Linked DNA regions of Mus musculus. The protein of the gene in region 3 interacts with the protein of the main gene of each other region in a pairwise test. Links are inferred from orthologs where the notes say so. Each region holds a gene or a part of one and is shown on either strand. Other genes may lie near its edges.

What was found.
Region 1: the proteins of Gcc1 (region 3) and Zfp276 interact in binary tests that used the Homo sapiens proteins (3 or more experiments, as listed by UniProt). The two-hybrid records come from large-scale screens. The link is inferred for Mus musculus from reciprocal best matches to the Homo sapiens genes GCC1 and ZNF276.
Region 2: the proteins of Gcc1 (region 3) and Cep57 interact in binary tests that used the Homo sapiens proteins (3 or more experiments, as listed by UniProt). The two-hybrid records come from large-scale screens. The link is inferred for Mus musculus from reciprocal best matches to the Homo sapiens genes GCC1 and CEP57.
Region 4: the proteins of Gcc1 (region 3) and Atf4 interact in binary tests that used the Homo sapiens proteins (3 or more experiments, as listed by UniProt). The two-hybrid records come from large-scale screens. The link is inferred for Mus musculus from reciprocal best matches to the Homo sapiens genes GCC1 and ATF4.

Annotation. Positions count from the first base shown.
Region 1 is NC_000074.6:123,252,195-123,258,555, reverse strand, and holds the start of Zfp276 (zinc finger protein 276), read right to left. Parts: upstream 4,362-6,361; 5' UTR 3,841-4,361; coding exon 3,633-3,840; exon of another isoform or gene 3,414-3,632; intron 2,850-3,413; coding exon 2,546-2,849; intron 2,273-2,545; coding exon 2,226-2,272; intron 2,138-2,225; coding exon 1,691-2,137; intron 246-1,690; coding exon 167-245; intron 1-166. Other genes in the region: Vps9d1 (VPS9 domain-containing protein 1), read left to right, coding at 4,470-4,568, 5,876-5,951. UniProt on the Homo sapiens protein: May be involved in transcriptional regulation.
Region 2 is NC_000075.6:13,806,501-13,811,532, reverse strand, and holds the end of Cep57 (centrosomal protein of 57 kDa), read left to right. Parts: intron 1-670; coding exon 671-906; intron 907-1,528; coding exon 1,529-1,673; intron 1,674-2,636; exon of another isoform or gene 2,637-2,692; coding exon 2,693-2,926; 3' UTR 2,927-3,745; downstream 3,746-5,032. UniProt on the Homo sapiens protein: Centrosomal protein which may be required for microtubule attachment to centrosomes. May act by forming ring-like structures around microtubules. Mediates nuclear translocation and mitogenic activity of the internalized growth factor FGF2, but that of FGF1.
Region 3 is NC_000072.6:28,418,101-28,424,323, forward strand, and holds the start of Gcc1 (GRIP and coiled-coil domain-containing protein 1), read right to left. Parts: upstream 3,625-6,223; 5' UTR 3,217-3,624; coding exon 2,185-3,216; intron 1,201-2,184; coding exon 1-1,200. Other genes in the region: Arf5 (ADP-ribosylation factor 5), read left to right, coding at 5,589-5,655, 6,190-6,223. UniProt on the Homo sapiens protein: Probably involved in maintaining Golgi structure.
Region 4 is NC_000081.6:80,252,791-80,259,100, reverse strand, and holds Atf4 (cyclic AMP-dependent transcription factor ATF-4), read right to left. Parts: upstream 3,918-6,310; 5' UTR 3,416-3,917; intron 2,895-3,415; 5' UTR 2,803-2,894; coding exon 2,580-2,802; intron 2,468-2,579; coding exon 1,641-2,467; 3' UTR 1,556-1,640; downstream 1-1,555. UniProt on the Homo sapiens protein: Transcription factor that binds the cAMP response element (CRE) (consensus: 5'-GTGACGT[AC][AG]-3') and displays two biological functions, as regulator of metabolic and redox processes under normal cellular conditions, and as master transcription factor during integrated stress response (ISR).

The DNA.
Region 1 (6,361 bases), on a different chromosome or scaffold from region 3:
GCTAAGTCAGGAGCCAGGGACCTCAGAACAACCCTGATCACTCCTCTCCTCCCCACCTCTAAGAAGGAGAGATGGCAAACATGCCAACCAAGGGTAGCAGCTCTAGACAGGCTGAGTCTGGTCTGGAAGGAGAGAGTTTAGGCTATGAAACCCCCTCTTCTCTCACCCCTCAGAAAGGTCACTGAACTCGTCTTTTACCCGATCATCCGAGGTTGACGAGGGAACCTGCGTCTCACCCAGTTGCCCTGGGAAACAAAGAACAGGCTCTGGTTACCAACAGTGAGCACTTTCCTGTAAGGAGGCAATGCTGTCCCTCCCTGTCTAAGGACACACCTTCCTTACTGGGGCTGGGAGGCCTGTGGCCTCAACCTCCTCTGTTCTCACTCCTGCTCAGATTCAGGCCATTGTGAGAACGGCCCACTCTGCATAGTTTACAACATGTTAAAAGATACTGTATACAAACACTTTATACAGCCAGGCATTCTAAAGTCTGTGGCGTCACCCTAGGGCCTCGCCTAGAGCCCACCTATAGCTGAACCACAGGGGTACTTACACTTTTAATGTTTAAAAAAAATTTTTAAGCCAGGCGTGGTGGCGCATGCCTTTAATCTCAGCACTCGGGAGGCAGAGGCAGGCGAATTTCTGAGTTCGAGGCCAGCCTGGTCTACAAAGTGAGTTCCAAGACACCCACGACTATACAGAGAAATCCTGTCTCGGGAAAGAAAAAGAATTTATGTGTGTGACTATTTCTCCTATGCACATGCCTGGTGCTGGCAGAGGCCAGATGAGGCCTTGGATCATGAACTGGAGTTATGTGGTGATTACTCACCATGTGTGTCTTTTGCAAGGGCAGCAAGTGTTCTTAACTGCTGAGCCTTATCTTCAATCCCGCTTTTTTTTTTTTTTTTTTTTTTTTTGAGACAGGGTCTCTCTATGTACCCTTGGTTCTGTCCTGGAACTCTCTACGTAGACCTAGCTGACTGGTCTCAAACTCACAGAAGTTGGCCTGCCTGCCTTTGCCTCCCCAAGAGCTGGGGTTAAAGGTGTGCACCACTATGCTTGGTACCCGTCCAGAGTTTTTAAAGAGCCCCAGTGTGGACTGCAGGTGAAAACTGCAGTGCCCATAACTGGCCATGAAGCACACAGAGGCAAGAGGCAGGCAGGAGGCTGCTCCTAGCTCTCCCAACACGATGCTTAGGAACAGCTGCATCCAACCCACAGCATGTGTGGGTGGGGTCTGAGCTCCACAGAAGGGCCAGTCAGCAGAAGAGCTACCACACTGGCCTACACACTATGGTAAAGTAGCAGCCTCTTTGTCTGCCTCCATGTCCTGCGGACAATAACCCCATTCTTCTCTCTCCCTCAGTCCCCTCAGCCTACAGGAACAACCAGTCCCCTGTGGTCTAAGGACAGACTTAGAGGAAGACTGAATGCCAGATGAGCACCATTGCAGAAACTGGTGAATTAGAGGCCTACTGGTGAAGAGACAGAAAGTCAGACAGGCTGGTCGGGCCACCCTACACTTAGGTTCTAGGGGAAGGCACCGAGGGTGGATCCTCCTCTCCTGCCACCAGCTTCCTATGCTGTACCGTGCTCTACAGGCACACAGTACAGAATCCACTGTCTGCTGATGACAGCCTTGGTCAGAACACTGAGTCCTGTTCCAGCATAAGCCACAGGTGCTGCTTACCTGGGGCCTCACTGGGAGCCAAGTGTGGCTGCGTACAGGGGCCTAGCCCAGGTCCCACAGAGTCTCCATGTGAGTGCAGCAGGGCCACATCCACACTGGGGAGTGTCTTGGTCTCAGATCCAACTTGGGTTTCTCTGGCCTGGCAGAGCCGAGAGGCAGCTCCCGTGGGGTTGGACTCTGAGTTCTGGGCCAGCCGTGGTGACAGGTCCTTGCCCCACGCCCATTTCACTGCTAATGCACTGTCCAAAAAGAGAGCTCTGCAGCTGGAGGCTGTGTCCATGGTGAAGTCGTGGCCCTGGTCGCAGCCCCACACAGCCTGGATGATGCCGCAGTACTCAGAGGACAGTGTCCTCTGGAGGCTGGGCAGAGACCCACAGCTGACTGCATGCTCATGCACCCAGCCCACCAAGCCGTGCAGACACCGAGGGCTGGAGGCGATCAGGTCAGCTGAGGAGAATCAACAGAGATGTCAGGCTCACCGTGGCCAGCGCTAGGCCCTCCCTGGGACGCCCACCCTGGCACAGATAGCACTCACCCACACATGCTCCCTCCTCTGCCACTGTGGTAGGCTGAACACCAACCCTGCAAAGCATCAGTGGCCACAGTTTAGGAACCTCTCAAGGTCACAAACGTCTTCCACAGGGCCCCTCTGTCAGCTGCCCTGGTTCCCTCTCTCCTAAGTGATAGCTCTTCACCCTCAGATCTCTGCAAACATTGCCACCACAGCACCCCATTGTAACACCATGAGCTTTTGTATGCTAGCTTTTGTCCACCCCAAGTCACTGCCTTAAGTCAACACCTAGAACACAGGGTGACGAACCCCTAAAAGTCCCTAGAAATCCAACAAGGGCCTACTTTGTACAAGGCTTCCTCTGGCCAGCTGGGGAGACGTTGACTCTCTGTAAGAAGGTCCTGAGAAGGCTGTGGCACTGATAGAATTGGGTGTAGCAGTTCTTGCAGACAGACTGAGGCAGGGCTGGGTCCTGGTGCACAGCGACACCCAGCAGACGCTGGAAGTCCCTAATGAAGACACGCTCTCCTGGGGACAGTCTTTCTGAAGTCTCCCCAGGCACTCTGTCAGAGATGCTTCGGAGGCTCCGTGAGGAAAACTTCCCATGGCAGAGTCGACAATGCCCCATAGCGAGAGTCCGGCCTGCTCCTGCGCAGAGAAGCAAATGTGACATAAGCGAGGTACTCGCAGTGCAAGGGCCACTCTTCCCCCTGGCCTCCGAACACTGCAAGCAGAGAAGTGCCCGCACCAGGCTTCCTAAACACAAGAGTAGCGGGACTGGGACTCGGGAGCTGGCCTTCCTCACTGAACACTCAATATTCAAGGAACCCCAGATGCCTACAACGAAGATGAAACTTAACATCCCTATTCTGAAAATGTGTCCAAGCCGTGCCTCAAGAAACTAACTCACTGTTCATCCCTGTCCATCTATAGGTGCCCTGCCTGCAGCATGTGCATGATGCCACCCAACTGCCCCTAGTGGGAGTAAAGGACAGCTTACATAGGAAAGCCATTCTCAGATGACTGAAGAACACCACACTAATGTGATGCACATGGAGGCTGTTAACCTAACTAGCTGCTGCTTGTTCACAAACTCGCAGCCGCACAAGGAACAAGCAGTTAGTTCACTTAACTCAGTTCCCAACGCAGGTTAGGTTATAGGCCTGTTTTAACCATCAAGAAACTGGGGTTCAGAAAAAGTTAAGCAATTACCCTAAAAGTCCATAGCACGAAGAGCAAACTTGAAGCCACACCTGTGTGCCTTCAAATCTTACGCACTAAATAGCAGCGACACAGAGCTGTCTGGGCGGCAGAGGAAAGGGCCTCTATCGGCAGTTCTCCAGAGGGCCCGCGTTCTCCAGAACCAGGAGGCCTGGTTTGCTCTCATTATCACTAAGCTCGCACCGGGGCCCGAGGACGCCTGGAACCCACCAGCTTCGTCTGTACCGTCGTCGCCTGTGTCCCCGCAGGAGCGTGTCATCGAGCCCCAGCTGAGCTGAGCAGCCGCCCCGTCAGCGCTCGTTCCGCCGCTGCGAGAAGGGCGACCCCGAGTCCGACCGCTTCCACAGCCGCCGCCCGAACCCCCGCGCTGCCGAGCTATTCCGGGAGACAGGAAGCGGCCGAGGCGGTCCCGCTTCATGGTGGTAGGCGACACTCGCTCCCTGCTCCGCGCTGCTCGGTGTGGCTCGGCCCCCTGACTTCTTGCTAGAGCGGACTTAACTTGGCACACTCCGTGCCGTTCCGCTACTCTCCGCCGCGCTGCCCCGCTCCGCTCGGCTCCCCGAGATCGGAGCCGGAGGAAGCGAGGGCTGCAAGGAAGCGAGGAGCGGTCTGGGGAGCCACAGCGGCCGCGGCGGGGTCAGGAGCCCGGAGTTCTTCGGGTCTCTCGGAACTCGCGACAGGCCCTTAAAGGAGGGGCAGCCCGGAGGGTGAACGGCCGCGGACTGCCGCCCGGGCGGTGGCGCACAACAGAAACCCTTCAGAGCAGTAGCTCTCCCCGCCAGCCTTCCCGTCCGCGCTCGCAGCAAGTTGGCCGGAGGAGGTGACAAGAGCCACTGACCCCTCCGGTCCCCTAAACCCAAGTCTGCGCGGCGGGGCGGGGCGCGGCGGGGCGGGGCAAGGCCGGCGGAAGTGTGTCCGGGTCCCCTTCCGGCGGTGCGCAGCTCCTGCGCCTCCCTCAGCTCCGCGCTCCGCGTTCCGGTCTGGAGGCGTCCGCCCCGTCCCGCCCCTGCCGCCGCGGCCTCCCGCTCCCCGCCCCCGCCCAGCGCCATGGCCGCTGCGGCCGGGGACGGCGGGGCGAAGCCACTGCAGAGCGCCATGAAACTGGCCAACAAGGCCATCGAGCTAGACACCGGCAACCGGCCCCGGGTGAGGCTGGGAGGGTCGCGGAAGCAGCTCTGGGAGGCCCTTTGCCCCTGGTGGGTGGGCGAGGGCGGGCGTGTAGAGGGATTCGGCGCTCCCGATGCGCGCGGCGGCGGCGGCGGCTCTGGGACCGCGCCCGGAGACCCGGGGCCCGGAGGCTAAGGGCGCCGAGCTCTGCGGGGACCTGGAACAGCTCAGCTCGCACTGGGCCTAGATTTACCTGTGTGATGAGGCGGTGTGACATAAGGAGGAGGTTCTGTTTGCAAAGGACCTACATCCAAGATGTAGATGACAGATGTGTGTGTGTGTGTGTGTGTGTGTGTGTGTGTGTGTATTCTTGACAGAGTCTGTGTAGAGTTAATCTAGAAAAGACCCGACTGTTGGCTCATTCAGGATGCTGCTGCTGTCTGCAGTTGCCTTCAAAGGTCATTTGTAAAGAAACCCAGGCACAAAAGGGGTGTGGCCTGTCACTGAGAATAACTGCTAATTAAAAGGATGGCAACAAGGTAGAAAAGCCGGCTGGGCCACCCAGAGCTTCCATAGGACAGGACGAATCACTGGTTGTCCAGTGCCCCAACTTAGTTTTCTAGGGCACCCTCACAAGACCAGAATCCTACCTGAAACCCATTTTATCTGAAGTGCTGAGCTAATTAAAGTTGGGTAATTTTGACAACGAGTAAAACGAAACACATACAGACCAGAGTGCGTTCTGTCTTGAGCTGTCACAGAGCCCAGAGCAGAGGGGTCACACAGCTGAAACCTGCAGCTCGGTGCTCTGGGCTCCTTTGAGCAGAGGGAATTATTCTGGAGTCTGTAGAATGTTATTTCTTCACCTAAGCCAAAACTTGAGATTGACAGATGAGCCCTTATCCTCTCCTCAGATTTCAGGAAGTGCTTTTCATGAGACATGGAAAGACTGCTAGTCTTTGAGTTGCACAGGAAGAGAACTTTGTCACACAGAGTGGAAACCCTTATTGCTGCTCAGGCAGCTCTGTGGAGCCTCCTGACTGAAGCTCAGCTCCTTCATGTGGTGGATAGTAATGAGAGGAGAGGTGTGTCTGTCTGGGAACTCCTCAGCACAGTGTTGAAGGAAGGAATTCTTTGATTTTTTGTTCTGTTTGATATCTTTTTCCCTTCAAGTCTAGACAGTATAGATACCATCTGTGTCCTAGCTGGACCATCCATCACTGAAGCCTAGAAGGAAGTCTTGTCAAAAAACAAGCAGGCACTGTTGGTCCTGCAGTTGTATCTGGGCATTCACCAGGCAGGCAGGATGCAGGCCTGACCACTGCTATTCTCTCCCCTGCATCTAGGAAGCGTACGTGGAATACCTGCGCAGCATCCACTACATCTCCCAGGTATTGCTCGAAGACGTGGAAAACACTACAGGTATGCCTTCAGACTTGCTACTCCTCTCATGATAGCAAAATGGTGCCCCCACCCACCCACCCATGCCCTTGCCCACCAGCTGGCACCGCCAAATGTTTTCAGATGAGGGCGGGGAACTGTCTCCTTTTCTGCCTTCTGAGGTTTTCCAGAGGTCTCCTGTCTCTTTCCAACCTGGTCCTTATCGTTAGCATATGATGTCATAGTGTGACATGCTGGCATTGAGGAGAAGTGGTCAGGATTAGGGGACGGATTGTGAATTGGGTCAAGACACTGCCTCAAGGTAGTTAAGAGTGAGATGCACAAAGTGGGGGCCTTGCCAGCAAAAGTACGTTTAAAAGGTCCTGGAGGAGGAAGTAGTTAAATTAGTGTTTTGTACATCTTGGACGGATGTGGAAGAGAATTCTGGGAAC
Region 2 (5,032 bases), on a different chromosome or scaffold from region 3:
GAGTTTGGCGTGTATGATTCTTCCCCACCACAATTAGCCAAGACAAATTAACAAATAATACAGAAACATTTTTAAACAACAAGCACATTAGGTCTTAAGTTATTCCCCTAAATCTGCATTTTAAACAAGTTAAGTCTGCTGGTGACTTATGGAGCTTAAACAAGCCCAGCCAACTATTGGAATTGTTATTTCCTATTGGAAACAAGTTCAAGAAAGCTATGAAGTTTTATTGTATTTTTATGTTGTGGCAGATAAACGTTAGCGCTTCCTACAAGAGGCAAGAAGGTCAGTTGGGTTGTTTGATTTTAGATGTGGTCTTGAACTCCACTATAGCACAGGATAAATAATTTCTGGTCCTCCTGCCTTCTTAAGTGCTGGAATTACAGGTGTGCAACAATTTATATGATGCTGGGGACCAAAGAAGGGCCTCTTACTCTTACATGCTCCTTAAGTACCTGCCAACTCAGCCACATCCCCAGCAGGGTGTTCATTACTAACTGAAGACGTTAGTACATCAGCCAAGTGTTTGATACAGGTGGATGGCTAGTTGCCAATTTGCCACAGTATAGTACATTTATGCCTTAGGATTTAGAGATGAACTCTTACTCGGGTTACAAACTAGAACCTGGCAATCAAGGACATTATTTGCTTGATTTACTTTTCTCTTTAGTCCACCAGTCCCAGCCATGCCGTGGTAGCCAATGTTCAGCATGTCTTGCATCTGATGAAACACCACAGTAAAGCCCTGTGCAATGATCGAGTTGTTAACAGTGTTCCCTTGGCAAAGCAAGCTTGCTCACGAGTTAGTAAGAGTAAGAAGTCAGTGGTGCCTCCTTCCAGCAGTGTTAATGAAGAACTTTCGGATGTCTTGCAGACTTTACAGGATGAATTTGGGCAAATGAGCTTGTGAGTTTTGACTTTTTGAATTTAAAATTACATTTAGTTCTAAAATCTCATTTTTTTCTAGCAGCTTGGATTTTTAATCCTAATTTTATTCACTGATGTTGAACATAGCCATTACACCAGCCCACTGGCTGGGAGTTAAACAAGCCTCCCTTTCTATTTTGTTAGATGTCAAATGCCAAGGCTTAGGTAAAAGCTCAGTAGTATTGAGGGTTATCCAAATATAACTAATGAGTTAGGACAGCGTTTGAAAGCCAGTGTCCCAGAGGATTTACTTTATAAGTGATGCTGATGGGAGAAGCAGATAAAAGTTTATATTAGCCTGCAACCCTGGATGGACCCAAATTTGTCTGGGATTAAGAATACTTGCATGTATCTTCATTTTTGTAAACCTTTGTTTTTATTTATGTATATATCACATGTGTGCAGGTCCCCAAGGAGGCCAGGAGAGGGCATCAGAGCCCCTGGAGCTGAAGTCACAGGTGGTTATGAGCCACCCATGTATAGAGCAGCAGTTTGTTAAAAGGAGTTATTTTTTAAGAGTGGTGAATCCCATAGTGAAATATAAAGGACATAACTTAAAAATGAGGAACTGAAGGTAGTCTCCCTTGTGGTTTGTATGCAGTGATCATCAGCAGCTTACTAAACTCATACAGGAATCACCAACTGTGGAACTAAAAGACAACCTGGAGTGTGAATTGGAGGCATTAGTGGGAAGAATGGAAGCGAAGGCCAATCAGATAACTAAAGTTCGAAAATACCAAGCCCAGGTGACTCCTGCCCTTCTGTCGTTTTTTCCCCCTTCATGTATATTAATTGATGATGCTTAAGCTGTTTCTGGAGATTTTCCTAACAGTCTGTGTTAAGAAGTGTTAGTTCTTATATTTCATATAAGATGTGTCTTTACTGACTATATTTAATATCCTTGGCTTTATGAACAAAACTAAGTGGTTTAGTTTGACTAAATTGTCTAAAAATACAGCTAGAATTTTTAATTTTCAAAGTCAGATTAAATATGTAAAAAAAAGTAGTATGTTTGCTCATACTAAATAATGACTAAAAGGAAAAGGGTTACTCACATTTAATAAGCCTACTTGGTGTTCTCATCTAGAGAAACAGACTGTATTTGAGATTGCTGTGAAATAGGGGTAGAACAGGGGTAGAGTCCAGCTCCTGGGTTGACAGCAATTGGAGTCTGGGTAGAAGTGGACAACTCTGAAGTAGGTTTTAGAAGTAAAAAATCCCTCTCAAGCTTCCAAATGCTGTGTGATGTGGAAGAACTATTTCACTGGCACAGAATCAAGTATATTGAGAATGCCATCTCACTTCATTTCCTTAAAACCCATTTTATAGGTGAAGTAACTGTGACTATCTCAGTAAATGAAATAACCTGCCCAAGGAGATCCTGTGTGGTTGTTGGTGCTGGACTGACAACTAACTAGTAGCTGTTAGAGTTTACAGTCTGGTCAAGCAGGGAGAATTCGAAGCCTGTCCCTCTCTCCTTAAGGAGACTTTTACAGTATTTATATAGCACTTATTTACCTGGCTGTGTATTTTACATATGTGATTTATAACTTCTGCAGATCTATGTGCTTTTAAAAAAACCCACCTAGAATCTATCACTTGAGTGTTAGAGGAAGATTATTTAAGTCAATGGTGTACTTAAGAAGTTGAGGCAGAAGAATCAAGAGTTTAAGACTGAACATAGCAAGACCTCGTATCAAAAACAAAGCTAAAAGAAAATGTTTTTATTGAATTCATTTTTTCCCTGTTTTGATTATTTGGTCAGCTGGAGAAACAAAACATAGATAAGCAGAAGAAGGAATTAAAAGCTAACAAAAAGACTCTTGATGAAGAAGGGAACAGCAGCGGTCGTTCATCTGGAGTCCCAAGGACCGCAAGTAAGAAGGATCTGGCCAAACAGAGACCTGGAGAAAAAAGCAGGAAAAATCTTCAGTTACTGAAGGACATGCAGACCATACAGAATTCACTGCAGAGCAGTAATCTGTGTTGGGATTACTGACACCAGGTCATAAATGATGTACCTCACTGGTCATAAACGATGTACGTACTGGACATGAGCAGACTTTCCAGGTCTCATGCTTGCTAAGCTGCCATTACTGGCAGGTGTTAGGGGCCAAGCTTCATTACAGTCTATTGTGCTATGTAGCACAACTGATGGAGATGGAGTTCTGCGGCAGAGAAGCCTCACTGTCTTTGAATTTGCTGTACTCATTCACTGCACTTTGTAAACAAATGACCAGTTTTTTACTCATGGGTGTGTTTTTTAAACTAGGTATATATGTAAATTGGGTTTGAAAATTCAGAATATGAGATAGTCCCCATAGTCAGTGCTTGAAGTCTTGTTTTTTAAATCTTCCCACAGCATGAAGTGACCACTACTCTCCCTTCTCCAGATGACCATTAAATGTACTGTTTTCAAGAAGACTTTGTTTTGCTTTGGTATTTTAGACATTGATCAATCATAAATTCACTTAAGTCAGTTATCCATGAAATATGTCACAATGTCTTCAGAAAAACTATATAAACAGTTGTTACTGAAGTAAATGAAATTTTGGAATAAAGAATGAGAACGTGGGTATTGTAAAATGTACACGTTTACAGTTTTTAGACAGTATCTATTTGTAATCATGTTAAGCACTGTTTAATCTTGACTTAAGAGAAGCTCATGCTTTTAGCATACAGTATGTGAATTGAATACACACATCTATCATGCCAATGTAAATTATTTAACTTTGAGTAGATCGACATGTTATAATCTTTATAAATTTGGTACTTCAAATCAATAAAGCAGTTTTTAAACTTTGCTTAACAGCCAGCTAACAAAGGCTTTATTTGTCATACAAACTCAAAAAGTGCATGTTAGTATCGTGATTGAGGAACGAGAATATCTGAGGCATGCTTGTCATCCTTGTGCTTACAGAGACCAAGCTCAGTGTTCCTGAATGGTTCAGACAGGCTGGGGAACATACTAGCCATCTACTAAGTTGAATAGCATGAATTGTTTGTTACTTGGGCACCAGAAGGCCCTATCACTTGGTGAATTTTCTAGTTAGAAACATAGATTTTTAAGCTTCATGAGTCACCTGAAATTGTATATAAATTTGTGTGTGCAGTTTTCTGATGAGGTTTGCAGGAACAATGACCTGACAACCGTGAGTCCATAGTCCCCAGGAAGGTAAGAAACTGCTCTGGTGACATGGCTCAACCACCACTTCCAACTGTTCCACTTGTGTTAATTCCTTGGATTTCAGGACAGTAAACTGTATAACTGTCATCTGAATGATGATGGCTCCAACTCCTAGTTAGAATAGTAATTGGAGGATAGTAACTCCTACCTGTCTCCAGCTGGATTCCAACTGTAGGCTTTGGGTTTTGATTCTGCTTCAGTTTCTTGTTCACTTGCAGCAGAGCTCCCTTGTATCCTGTACAAGACGCCAGCGCGGATCCCACGCTTCGTAAGAAAGGAGTGCTTTCCTTGATGTCATACTGGGGTGTGTGTGAACACCAGGAATGCAGTTGAACTCCACATAAGCACTTTTAGTGTGCACATTCCACACTCAAGATTCCTTGGAGGTCACAGAAAACATTGCAAGGTTTTGGAGTGACATATTTCTCTGCCGTTTGGGTGACCGTATGATCAGCATCCCTCTGATGTCATACCAAGATGGTCAAAGGTTTCAGGGAAGAAAGCAGACTAGTGAGGAAAGTGAACTGTTACAGAAATCTTACTTGAATGCTGGGAACATAAATACCTCCTCAAAAAAATTTTTATAGCTAAGTTTACACCAACCAAATTATTTGGTACCAATTCTTGTAAATACTGGGTATGCTGGGGTATATTCAATAGTATAGCATTTGCCTGGCAAGTGTGAGGCTCTGGGCTCAATATCCAGGTAAAATATATAAGCAAAAAAAAAAAAAAAGTAGGAAAGAGGAGATCTGTGATGTACTAATTCCAAAATCAACACCAGGACTACAGTTCAAACAATGAGTTACGGAACAATGCTTTTTACAGTTTGATTTTAGGTGTCAAAGACAGGTGGGCTTAAATTGGATTGGATAATTCCAGGTTAACATTTTGGGGGTGGGGTGGGGAGGGTACTTT
Region 3 (6,223 bases):
CTGCTGGCGGCCCAGGCTGTCGGGCAGGGTCAGGAAGCGGTAGATGATGTTTTTGAGATATTCCAGGTTGGCTCCCTCCCTGCTCTGGTCCCTCATATTCTTTTCGATGTGGCTCTGGAGGGCTCCAACCTCCTCTCGATGCCGCTCGCCCTCCTCCAGCAGCCTTTCCTGCAGCTGATGGGCTTCTACCTCCAGCCTGTGTTTCTGCTTCCTCAGAGATGTGATCTCCACCTCCTTGCGGGCCAACTGCTCAGCATAAAGAAAGAAGGTGGGCTCGTTGGCTGCAGCAAGCTGCAGGGCCTGGGTCAAGCTATCTGAGGAGGCTGTGTCGGCTGGGTCCCCAAGACCTCCACCACCCACTCCTCCCACGGGGCTTCTGCGTCCTGGCAACCCAGAGGACAAGGCCACAGAACGTAGTTGCTCCAGCTCCAAGTCCTTCTCCGCGAGCACAGCCAGGGCCCGGTCCCGCTGCTTGTGTAGCTCCTCCTCCAGTTTCAGTGTGCGGTCCCTGAAGTCCAGCTGGCTGCGCTCCAGTTCCTGCCGATGGAGCTGCTGCAGCCGGGCCAGTTCCTGCTTCCAGTCCTCAGCCTCCTGCTGGTGCTGGCTTTCCAGCTCCTCACAGGACAGCCGCAGGGAGATATACTTGTCCTTCAGCTCTGCGAGCTGCTCCTGTGCTGCCTCCAGCTCCTTCCCCAGGCTCCCATCTTTGGTGTTCTTGCTTTTGAGCACAACTTGGGCTCGCATCTTATACCGCTCAAACTCTTCCTTCAGCTGCTTCAGCTCCTGTTGGTAGTAGAGCGCGGTAGCCTTTTCCCCGTCAGCAGCCTCGGAGTTGGCCATTATCTCAGGGTCGCAGAGCTTCTCCACATCCAGGGTCACCTGGCTTTTCCTAGCTGCAACCTGTAGTAGCTTCTTGAGCTTCTCCATCTTGTCCTTCAAGACATTGATATCCAGACTGGATTCGTCGCCATGGATGTCAAGGGAGGACCGGCTAGAGGCTGCGAGGGCCAGTGTCTTGTTCTCCAGGTCCAGCTGCAGAAGTCGCTCCTTCAGCTTCTGGATGGCCAGCTGGTCTTTCTGCTTGGCTTTCTCGTAGGTGCCCAGCAGTTCAGATACCTCAGAGATCTGGCTCTCCAGGGCTGCTACTCTCTGCTCTTCTACCTGAGACTGCTGGCGGAGCTGGTCCTCTGCAAGGGCTGTCTGCAAAGCAAAGAACAGGTGACAAGGCATCCAGGAAAGTCACAAAACCCCTAGAGTCAACTGGGTGTGGGGGAGGAGACAGAGAAGTGAACAGGGCTTGGAATAACCCAGAACAAGTGGGAACTGGGGATTTTTAACTGAAGTGCCCTTTCTACCATAGTTTTCCATTCTTCATTAAGCTTGAATACAAAGTATGTTTCTGTTAGCCAAATCATTTAAAGAAACCGTGTAACATTCTTTCCCTTTCCCAACATGCCTGTAAATTCAAACCCAACCTAGATCCCTCTCTCTACTGAAAGGGAACACTATAAAACAGTTGAGGCAAACCTCACCTGAGCGTATACACAAGGCATTTCTTCTGGGGAAAATCCCCTTTGCTTCCTCCAGTCACCTTACCTAGAAGCACACACTTCTCAGGATACACACAAGCTTTCCCTACACAGCTGTCACTGTATCACCTCAAGCAGCACAGCTGGTAAGATGCCAACACCCAAGGCCTAGATAGAGCTATCTGGCTTGAACCCAGAAATACTCAGGAACTCTTCATCCTGTTAGAAGGACACCACACAAAGCCACACTTCACGGGACTCACTGATGCAATTTTTTCACTTGGCATCAAATATCACTATGCATGTTGGGAATGTGGAACCAGACCAAAGTCCCAGTACTCACACTAACAACTCACGCTATCTCACCAGGCATCCCTTGACTAAAACAAGACCCTGCCTTAAGTGGGGAGAGGGGTGCCCTTAATCCTAGCACTTGGTATGGAAAAGCAGGCAAATCCCTGTGAGTTCAAGGGCAGACTGGGTTACATGGTAAGACCCTGCCTCATGAAAACACACACAGAGAAACAAACACACACACACACACACACACACACACACATAGGGATGCATTACAGTTATCTAATGACCAGAAGAGAAAAATAATAATTTCCTATGTAAGCTAAAATGACTATTTGAAGGATATGAGAATAATTACCTTCCTCATTTCTTGCTGCAATTGGGCCTGGAAATGGCTTTTAAGACGGGCAGCCTCTTGCTGAAGCTCCTGCAGCCGGGGGTCTGGTCGGTTCTTCTCATCTCGAATGGTTTGCAGCTCACCTTTCAGCTCCTCTACCTCTCGGGTCAGCTGCTTGGTCTGCAGTTCAAACCCTTCGACCTGATCAGCGGCATATGCCCGCCCTGCCAAGGCTTCTCTGGTCTCTTCTAAGCGAAGTTCCAGGTCCTGGCGCTGGGTCCTCTCCTCCTGCAAGAGCTTCTGAAGCTCGCGCAGCATCAAGGCATGGTCACTCTGCTCCTGGGCACGATCGTGCTGCTGTGTAATGAGGCGGGCTTTGGTTTCTGCTATCTGCTCTTGCAGCACCTTCAAGTCTCCCTCCAGGCGACCCCGCTCTTCCTCTGCCTTTTTATTGGCATCCTCTAAGTCCTGCTTCATCTTCTTCTTATCCGCCAGGTAAGACGCCTCCATACGGGACTTTTCCTGAGTGACTGTCGCCAAGGAGCTAGTCAAAGTGGCCAACTGAGTCTTCAGCTGATGCACTCTTTTGTCCATCTCACTACCGGCAGATGGCCCATCCCCACTGCTACTACTAACGCCACTCTCTGACCCACTGGCCTCTTCAGACTTTGGGGGAAGTGGTCCACGGGCCGCTCTGTCATCTTCAACCCCAAATTCACCCTTGACACTTGTAAGACTGGCTGCGGTATCCAAGCTAGTGGCAGTTCCGGTGCTGTCCTCACTGTGAGTGGAGCACCGGTCATCCACAGAATCAGGAAACGTGAGACCTGGAGGCTGCACACCTGAGAGGCCTACATCCGCCTCGTGGGATACCGACAGTACCTTGATGCTGGCCTCCAGGGCTTCTTTCTCCTTCAGCAGGCTTTTATAGGCACGCACCACATCCTTGAGTCTTGCCTGGTACTGGAGAAGCTGCTTTTTCTGTGTCTCGATGGTCTCCAAGAGATCCTTCTTACTTGGGCCGCCCCCGAAATTCATCCCAAACTTCTCCATGGGGGTTCTGGCGTGGACCGCTCCACGTCAACGTTCTTGCAGCCCTGGGCAGAGCCACAGGGACAGCTAAAAGTGAAGCAGAGAGAACCGTCTGGCTGCAGGCAATACACCCGGTCCGTCCAGCGGTCCGGGCGGGATGAGGGGCCGCGGTGGCCAGGCAAAAGCACTGCAGGAGCCAGGCCGAAGGTGGGAGCCAGTTCCAACCTGGAGGCGGAGTGACGCTGACCTAGCAGGAGCAGTCAGCCTAGGCTCTCCAGTACAGGCCCTGAGCCTGTCCCGCCCTAGCCGCTCCTGTGGCCACCGCAACCTAGACCCGCCTCCCTCCGCCCACGATAAGCCCAGGGTTTACACTAAGCCGGGTTCCATCACGATTTCCCAACAACTGGAACAGCACCGCTTCCGGGTCTCCTGGAAGTGACGGCAGCAAAACGCCACAGACCCCGCCCCGCCGTGGGCGTGAGATGGGTGGGGCTTCCGCACCGTGTCTGCTGGTGGCCTGGAGAGGGAGTAACCCGTAGGTAAGTCTAGAGCAAGCACCTGAGCAGTGGTTTGGAGATGCCTAACTTTGCCCTCAAGCTACCACCAGTGAGCGACAGGGGGCGACGTCGCACTGCATTTGCCCCAAAAACATAGATGAAAGACGCATCAAACTATTTGGGGCAATGTCCAACATTTGGGGCAACAGTTAGGACTCATACTAGGAAAACGAGGCCGGTACCTGGTTAACGTAAAGCATAATAGCTCCCTCCCTTAGTTCTGATTAGTAAAAGGGGCATTATATAGCCATAAGGCCCATCTTGCATACCAGCATATGCTGGGGTCAGGGCTGTGTCACAAGAGTTACACTTACGGGAACATAGAGTAAAATGTACAGAGGGGTAACATGTCCAATGTCACTCAGCTAGGAAGTTTAGGAGTCCTATCTCAGTCTGCCTCTCAACATACTACATGCTATGCCAGATAGCACTACTGAAGAAGCATGGCCTTGTCCCAAGAAACTCCTAACAGCAAGGACACAGAGATTCAAACAGGTAGCTCCTGCCTTCACACTAGTGTGTCGGGGCATTGCAGAAGTGGTATAAAGGAGATGAGGCACCTGCCAGGACAGAGACTCTTAGGGGAAATGATTTGAAGTTTGAGAGATGAGTAGACTGCCAAGCTCAATGCAGATGTGGGAAACCAGCATGGAGGAAAGTGGAAAGGTGTATAGGGACGTCAGGCATCAGTGAGCCTAACTTGCCCAGGAAGCTTATGGTGTGGGAGAAGGGTGGCTACTGATGAGGCTGGAACAAAGGACCCAACTTAAAGGCATTTAGATTTTACCTTAGGTGACAAGACATGAAAAGATTTTCATCTCAAGAGCACACCATCAAGTCTCCTTTTTCTTTTCCATCAAGACTCTTGTGGGGACTGTAAGACGACTCAGCAGTAAAGGCACTTTCCACCCAGGCCCAATGATCTGACCTGAGTTCTATCACCAGGGCCCACACGGTGGAAAGAGAGAACATATTCCCACAGGTTGTCCTCTGAGAGCTACACCTCCACACATGAACACGAAATAAAAGTGGGGAGGGAGCCAGGCGTGGTGGCGCACGCCTTTAATCCCAGCACTTGGGAGGCAGAGGCAGGTGGATTTCTGAGTTCGAGGCGAGCCGGGTCTACAAAGTGAATTCCAGGACAACCAGGGCTATACAGAGAAACCCTGTCTCGAAAAAAAAAAAAAAAAAAGGGTGGGGAGGAGCTAGAAACAAAATAAGATTCCTGTGACATTATGAAGATACCAAGCCTGTGAGAGGGGTGCGGGGAGGGAAAGAGATGAAATAAGAGTGACAACGGGTTTTAAGAAAATATTTCTGTAATAAAAATCTACTCAAGATGCCAAGGCAGCCGTCACATCTCCGTGAGTTCGAGACTAGGCTGGTCTACATAGCAAGTTCCAGACCACCCAAGGCTACATAGTGGACATAGTGTTTCAAAACAAAAGACAATGAGCTACTTTGAGAATCTTTTAAATGTACTTTTCGACTCTATCAAAGTCTTCTCAGGAATGCAAGTTTACCACTTAAGAGTAAAGCAAAGTCCTGCGGTCACCGGAGACCCAGAACAAGTCCCCTTCCAAGCCCTGGTCCCCAGGCAGGCTGCCAGGCCTCCCTAGACTTCAGTTCTTCCGCAAACGCGCCTGGGGGGCGGGGCCGGGGCGGACCCGGAGGGGCGGGGCCACGTGACGTCGGGCGGACCCGGACGCGCGGAGGTGGCGGCGGCGGCGGCGGCGGCGCCTCCTCCTTCTGCTGTTGCGCCCCATCCCCCCGCGGCCGGCCGGTTCCAGCCCTCGCCCCGCGTCCCCTGCCCGCGCCCCCGCCCCGGGCCCCGCCATGGGCCTCACGGTGTCCGCGCTCTTTTCGCGGATCTTCGGGAAGAAGCAGATGCGGATCCTTATGGGTGAGGCAGATCGAGCGCGCGGCCCGCTTGGGGCGCCGGCCCCGCCGCAGCCCTCCCGCCCCCGCGTCCCTCTAGCCCCGCTCACCTGGTACCCTGACCCCGAGACACCCCACCGCCAAAGCCTCTGGGGGCCGCGCTCCCGTGCAAACCAGGATCTGCAGTGTCGGCCCTGGGCCTGAAACCCGGAGCTGGGGCCTGGGTGGGGTGACGCTTCCTCCGCCCCAGCCCGGCTGCTAAGAAGGGAGGATTCCGCCCTTGGAAACGACTTTTCAAAGGAACGCGGCCTTCCTCCCAGGTCCCCTACCTCCCTAGCCCCTCTCGCCCCTCGGGCACTTGAGGGGCAGGAGTTGGCACTCGCCACCCAGACTGCCCTCAAGGCCCGGAAGGTGGAGAAGAGCGCGCACCTGGAGGCCCTCCTGCTCTCCGCCCCCATCACCATCAGCTGGCCAGGCCTCTCCCTGTCCCTGGGCTCTAGGGGGCTCCCTCGCTCCCGTCTCCATTCTTTGCCCCCCCCCCCCCCCTTCTCCGTTGCAGTTGGCTTGGATGCGGCTGGCAAGACTACCATCCT
Region 4 (6,310 bases), on a different chromosome or scaffold from region 3:
TCCAGCAAAGGGAAGCCTACCCCAACTAAGGCATCCCAAGTTTAAATATTTAAAAATAGGCCAGTTTAAAAATTTGGTAATCTGGACTTGGGCGAGCTGCTGCCCCACCCCCCATGCTTCCTGTGGCTTCTGCTGTGGCCTGGACCATCCACAACTGCCTGGTCCCCTGTGAGTCCAGGGAGCTACAGAGAGTGGAGCAGGACTGCTACTAGAGGTCTTGGGGACTCAGGGCCAGCCACCAGGACTCCAGCCTGGCCTCGAGTGTTCTTGCTTGAGGGGTAGGGAGGGCTTAGTTCAAGGTGCATCTGGAGCTGGTTAGGTTCCCTGTTCTTAAAGGACTAGGCGAGAGGTCCAGCGGTCTGCTCTGCAATTCCCCAAACCTGAGCTGGTCTATTTCTGAACATGTCACTGGGTACTGGTTTGAACATGTACCTGCCACCCACCGTGGCCAAGATCTCCAGCCCATCCCATAGACTGCCTGGGTAGGTGCACTTGGGTCTCATTGCAGAGACTTAACTACTTACAGCCTAGCTTCTGTGCGTAACAAGGGTGAGCCCAAAGGCCTGCTGCAGAAGTGGGAGGCTGCTGTATCATCCTACCCACACCCAGGCCCCACCTTGTTCCCTGCCCCCAACACACTCCTCCTAGAGCAGGTCCTCCACCCAGCCTGCCAGCCATTTTACATCCCATCTTTGTTGTACCTGTCTCCCTTAGCAGGGAAGTTTCACAAAAACTAAGCTGCTCATCTTGTGTTCAGTTTGCATCCGATAGTTCCCAGTACAAGGTGAGCAATCACCAGTGGTAGGGAAACTGAAGGCCGTTCTCTGCCAGCTAATAGGCGCCCAGAACTAACAGCTTCAGTCTGGGCTGGCTAAACGGGAGCAAGCAGTACTTCCAGCCTTTTGTCATACCTGACATTGTCAAGGTTTCTACAGCTTCCTCCACTCTTGGCCAGACTACGGGTGGATTCCATAGTTTTAGGAATCCTAGATTAGCAAACCCAATGGACTACATTCATCCCAACAGCTAACATTCAGGTGAGTCTACTGGCATTGGGAAGGCTGAAAGATCCCTCTTAACCCTGCAGGCTTTAACAGTTTCCAGATTTAAGAGGTAAAGATGCAGGTAGCCCAGGACCCTGGAGCTGGAAGCCTAGGTTCCCTTCCCAGCTTCCTGCCTACATTGCTCATTTTCACCTCTGTAGACAGTACCTGCCACTGTTTACTATCACCCCAGCCCTTCCACCAGGTGGAAACAGTCCAGCCATCTGTGTCAGAGGGAATATGAGCTCTATCCCTTAAGCCTGAGAAAAACCTAATCCTCTGTGTGCTCAAGGCGGGTACCTCATCTAGGTACTTACATGGCAGCTATCTGGCACAAAGCCAGTATGAACAGGTGGAATTCAGGCTGTTCCTTTCATTAACCCAGAGCTCCCTCATCTTCACCGTCTCAAACAGCTCAGCTCAGCCCTGGGATATACCCAGGTAGTTATTGTATCTAACCCAGGAACGTCTGCAGTTAAGTCTATTACAAAGAATGACACTGAAAACCCACATAGGTACTTTCACTACAAAATAATTTATTACAGCAAACACAGCAACACAAGACTATGTACAAGCACAAAGCACCTGACTACCCTATTACGGAACTCTCTTCTTCCCCCTTGCCTTACGGACCTCTTCTATCAGGTCTTTCAGATACTGGATCTCCTTGGCCAGAGAATCTGCCTTCTCTTTCAGAGCCTCATTCTTTTTTTCTAGCTCCTTACACTCGCCAGTGAGGGCCTCCTGCTCAGCCCGCTTCTTCTGGCGGTACCTAGTGGCTGCTGTCTTGTTTTGCTCCATCTTTTTCAGCTTCTTATCCAATTTCTCAGTCTTCACTTTAGCTGTCAAACTAACTCCAGGTGGGTCATAAGGTTTGGGCCGAGGAGACCCACGGGAACCACCTGGAGAAGGCAGATTGTCTGGTGGGGCCCTGGAGGTGGAGGGGCTATGCTGGGGAGAGCCCAGGTAGGACTCTGGGCTCATACAGATGCCACTGTCATTGTCAGAGGGAGTGTCTTCCTCCTTTACACATGGAGGGATTAGAGTAATGTAAGCAGCAGAGTCAGGCTTCCTGTCTCCTTCAGAGATATCAACTTCACTGCCTAGCTCTAAACTAAAGGAATGCTCTGGAGTGGAAGACAGAACCCCTGGGGAACAGGGGAAAGGCTGCAAGAATGTAAAGGGGGCAACCTGGTCGACTTTTATTAAACTTTCTGGGAGATGGCCAATTGGGTTCACTGTCTGAGGGGGCTCCTTATTAGTCTCTTGGACTAGAGGGGCAAAAAGATCACATGTGTCATCCAACGTGGTCAAGAGCTCATCTGGCATGGTTTCCAGGTCATCCATTCGAAACAGAGCATCGAAGTCAAACTCTTTCAGATCCATTTTCTCCAACATCCAATCTGTCCCGGAAAAGGCATCCTCTGGGAAAAGAAATTCAGGTGTGAACGGTTCATGTCATATTCGGGAGGCAGAAAGCCATTAGAACACCAGATCCATATGAAAAGGGCACACCAGGACAGCCGTCCTACTCACCCTTGCCGGTGTCTGAGGCACTGGCCAAGCCATCATCCATAGCCGGCCATTCCGAGGAGCCCGCCTTGTCGCTGGAGAACCCATGAGGTTTCAAGTGCTTGGCCACCTCCAGATAGTCATCTAAGAGACCTAGGCTTTCTTCAGCCCCCAAACCCGACTGGTCGAAGGGGGACATCAAGTCCCCCGCCAACACTTCGCTGTTCAGGAAGCTCATCTCGGTCATGTTGTGGGGCTTTGCTGGATTCGAGGAATGTGCTTAACTCGAAGGTATCTTTGTCCGTTACAGCAACACTGCTGCTGGATTTCGTGAAGAGCCTGGATGGGGACCCAAAAGCAAGTCCAGTCATCTTTCTATCTAAGATGCCGGATGGCCAAATCCCAGAAGCGTCTACAGGGAGAGCACGCGGGCCCAAGGCCATTGTGTAAGCCTCCCCGGCCGCCAGCTCGGGTTGCACAAGATGGAGGCTTAGCTTTGCTTCACCGGCCACCCAGAGGAAGCAGCTTGTCCTCGCGTCCTAATACGGCCAAGGCCGCCGCGCCCCGCCCCCGTGACTCACACCCCCGCCCCACCGCCATCTTGGGCATCGCCACGTTCGCAGGATGACACGGGGACCCCGGTGAGCCCGAGATGATTAAGCTAAGACAGGACGAAGGGGCAGCAGTAGCGCTTTAGACACTCCTCCGCCCAGCTCTGCCCGGGAGCGCCGGCGTCGCAGGCAACGCAAACAAGGCCGACGCGTCCGGCCGCTTGTAAAACCGCGTGTGCCGGCCACCGCGCCCGGGCCGCACCCAACCACAGCGAGGCCCCCGCCCTCCGCGGCCGGCCCCATACTCACGCCATGGCTTAGGCCGGTGGGGGTTGCCGCTGCAGAGCCTGGTGCTGCTGCCGCCGCTGCAAAGGCCAACGCTGCCGCAGGCACTGCTGCCTCTAATACGCCATGGTGGCCGCAAGCCCTGCGGGAGGGGAAGAGGAAAGGGACACCCGAGCACACAACTTAAACCGGCAGACAGCAAGCAGAAATGGCGGCGGCACGCCCTAAACCCGCCCTTTATAGCCTCGGCCAGGGACGCAGCACACCGCGTATCCTCCCACTGTGGTCACGTGATCCTACCGCAGCGCCACCAAACCGCCTCTCACTGACGCCCTCGCCCGCCCCAACCCTTCTCCGCTGTGCTCGGGGGGTAACTGTGGCGTTAGAGATCGTCCTAAAGGCCCCATGAGAGAAAAGTGCACTACTTTATAGGTTGACGACCAGCCGCGGTCTGGTTCCGGAGCGCGGAGGGATCGCTCGTTGACGAATTTCCGGTGTCTTACAAGGCGGGGTGGGACACCTAGCCAAAGCTCTGACGGTCAAAGCCGAAGCTGCCAGGTTATCACGCGAGACGCCGTCGGAGCGCGCGTCGAGCTGATTGGCCCAGGCGTGGCGAGTCACCTAAACCTCAAGTTCCTATTGGCTCTGCACCTGGGCGCTCTAGGATCAGGGGTCTGCGTGGAAAGGGAGGAGCCACCAGAGGTTCCGGGCGCCAGACTGTCACACCTGCCATCTCTTGTCAGATGTGATCCATGTGTATTTGCTCTCTCCGGCATCGCTCCGCACCGAGCAAACAGCTTCCAGGCGTGACCTTTGGGCTGGAAGCCATCTTTTCATGTATTTGTTGTTTCCAGAACCGAGTGGGCAGGCTTCAGGCATGTGGAGAGACCCTTCTGAGTTAGCTGGTCCAAACCTTCAGCTTCCTGTCAGTCCTGGGACAGGGACGGCACTTGGAGGCAGGGCGTTCGTGTTGGGGTCTTCTTGGGAGATATTCCGGTTCCTCCAGTTCAGCGATTTCCCCTGAACCGGGGAAACATGCCTAACCTCAGGTCTAACCTCCTATGCCCATCCTCCCATCATAGAGGCCCTCACTGCCGGTTTGTATAGGGTCAGTTCCCTTAAGATCAGGTTTATTCAGTTGGCTCTCAAGCCTTAACTTCCAGGTATCACCTTCCCAAGAAGTCATCCTGATGAGTGAGCCTGCCGCCTAAGTGATCGGGAGCCCCAGGTACTGGTCAAGGCCTCACCATAAAGGATGCTGTTTTGAGAGTGCTGAGAGGCTCTTTCCAACTCCAGCCTGGAAATCTTAAAAAGAGTTTCCACTTCTGTTTAAGTGACTCACACAAATACCACTCAACTGGCACAGTGCCTGCCACTTACTGCTCAGTGATTATTTGCAAGCCTTGTACAACCCAACCCTAGCGCTCGGGTACCATAGTTCAAGGTCGTCCTTGATTATATGATTGATTGCTATTTATTAATTCGAACCTAACTCTCCAGTCCCTATATCCCTAACTCCATCCTCCTTCCTCAGAGGAGCCTTTATTATTGTTTACTGAGACGGAACCAACCATAAAACACGAGGCCTACATAATGAGATGTTTTTATACCCAAAGAAGTCACAAGTGCATGTGCACACATACAGAAGTTACCTAGTCTTTCCATGCAAAAGCAACAAAAGGGTAACTATGTCCTCTCTTTGCTCTGGAAACCAAAACAGCAGCCACACTGCTACATTAAGTGGACATCCCTTACAAGTTTCTGTCCCCTAAGCATAATGTACCCTGCAAACCATGGTTTTTAACCTATGCTGAGTTCCTAACTCTATGATGTATGCCCACCCCTTGCTTTGCTAAACTCCTGAACCTGTGATACATGACTGCCTTTTGCTATACAAAAACGTGCCTCCCCAGAAACCTTCCACGTGGTGTAAGCTTGCACTTCTTTTTCTGGCCTCCTTTCTAACAGCCAATTATCCTAGCAGCTGTTTTCTATCACATGTATCTACCCTGCAGGCAGCCTGGAGTCCCCCCACTCTTCTGTTAGGGTGCTAACAACCAATTATCCCAACAGCTGTTTTCTATCAACCCTAATGCTTTCCCATAAGAGTCTCCAAACAGCCAGTGAGGGGCTGTTTGGCTGGCCAAAGCTTGCTTAACCAGTCATGGAAATTTTTTCTCAGCTCTAACAAGGCTCCTGACCATACAGGTTGGCCATACAGAAGTTTAAAATTATTGACACTAGAGATCCCAGGAGAATGTCTGGTGGCTTCTTTTCCCCCGTCGTATTCCTAGCACCGATGTAAGAATATACCTGATACCACATAGACACGTCAGAGTTGTTGGAAAGGAGATTTTTATTTTCTTCTTCCCATGCTGCAGAAGACGCTGATTTCACCAGTTCAATTTCTCTCCTTCAAGGAGAAGGAGGATAAAGGTTCTCTGGGCCTTAGTAGCTAAGCTGCTCCTATATGGCCCCAGCCAAGACAGGACACAAAGATTAGTGACTGATTCCATTCTACCAGCAGGCAAGTGACTGGAAGGCAAGTTGTGGACTTGGCCTCAGAGACCAAGGGTTTAAAAGACTACAAGGTGATCAAAATAAAAGTTAACACCCACATCACTCCACCTGCAGTTAAACATAGAACCTGCATGCTGATATTCTGGACACTCAGTCTCAGGGGCTTGTAACCTCCTAGCCTGGTACAAGGGTCACTGTGTTCCCAAGGGCCTCCTCATTTACCTTGGCTTGAGCTTTTATACTAAAAAAGCTAAAGTTGTAGCAAATGCTCTCAGTTTTATCAAGTCATAATGCCAAGGAAATGTACCTTGGTAGAAGGCTCTGAACACACAGTGCATCCTGCTCTCAGATCTCCCAGCCTGAAGCGGATTCATCTTAACCATCAGAGCCAGCCCTGCA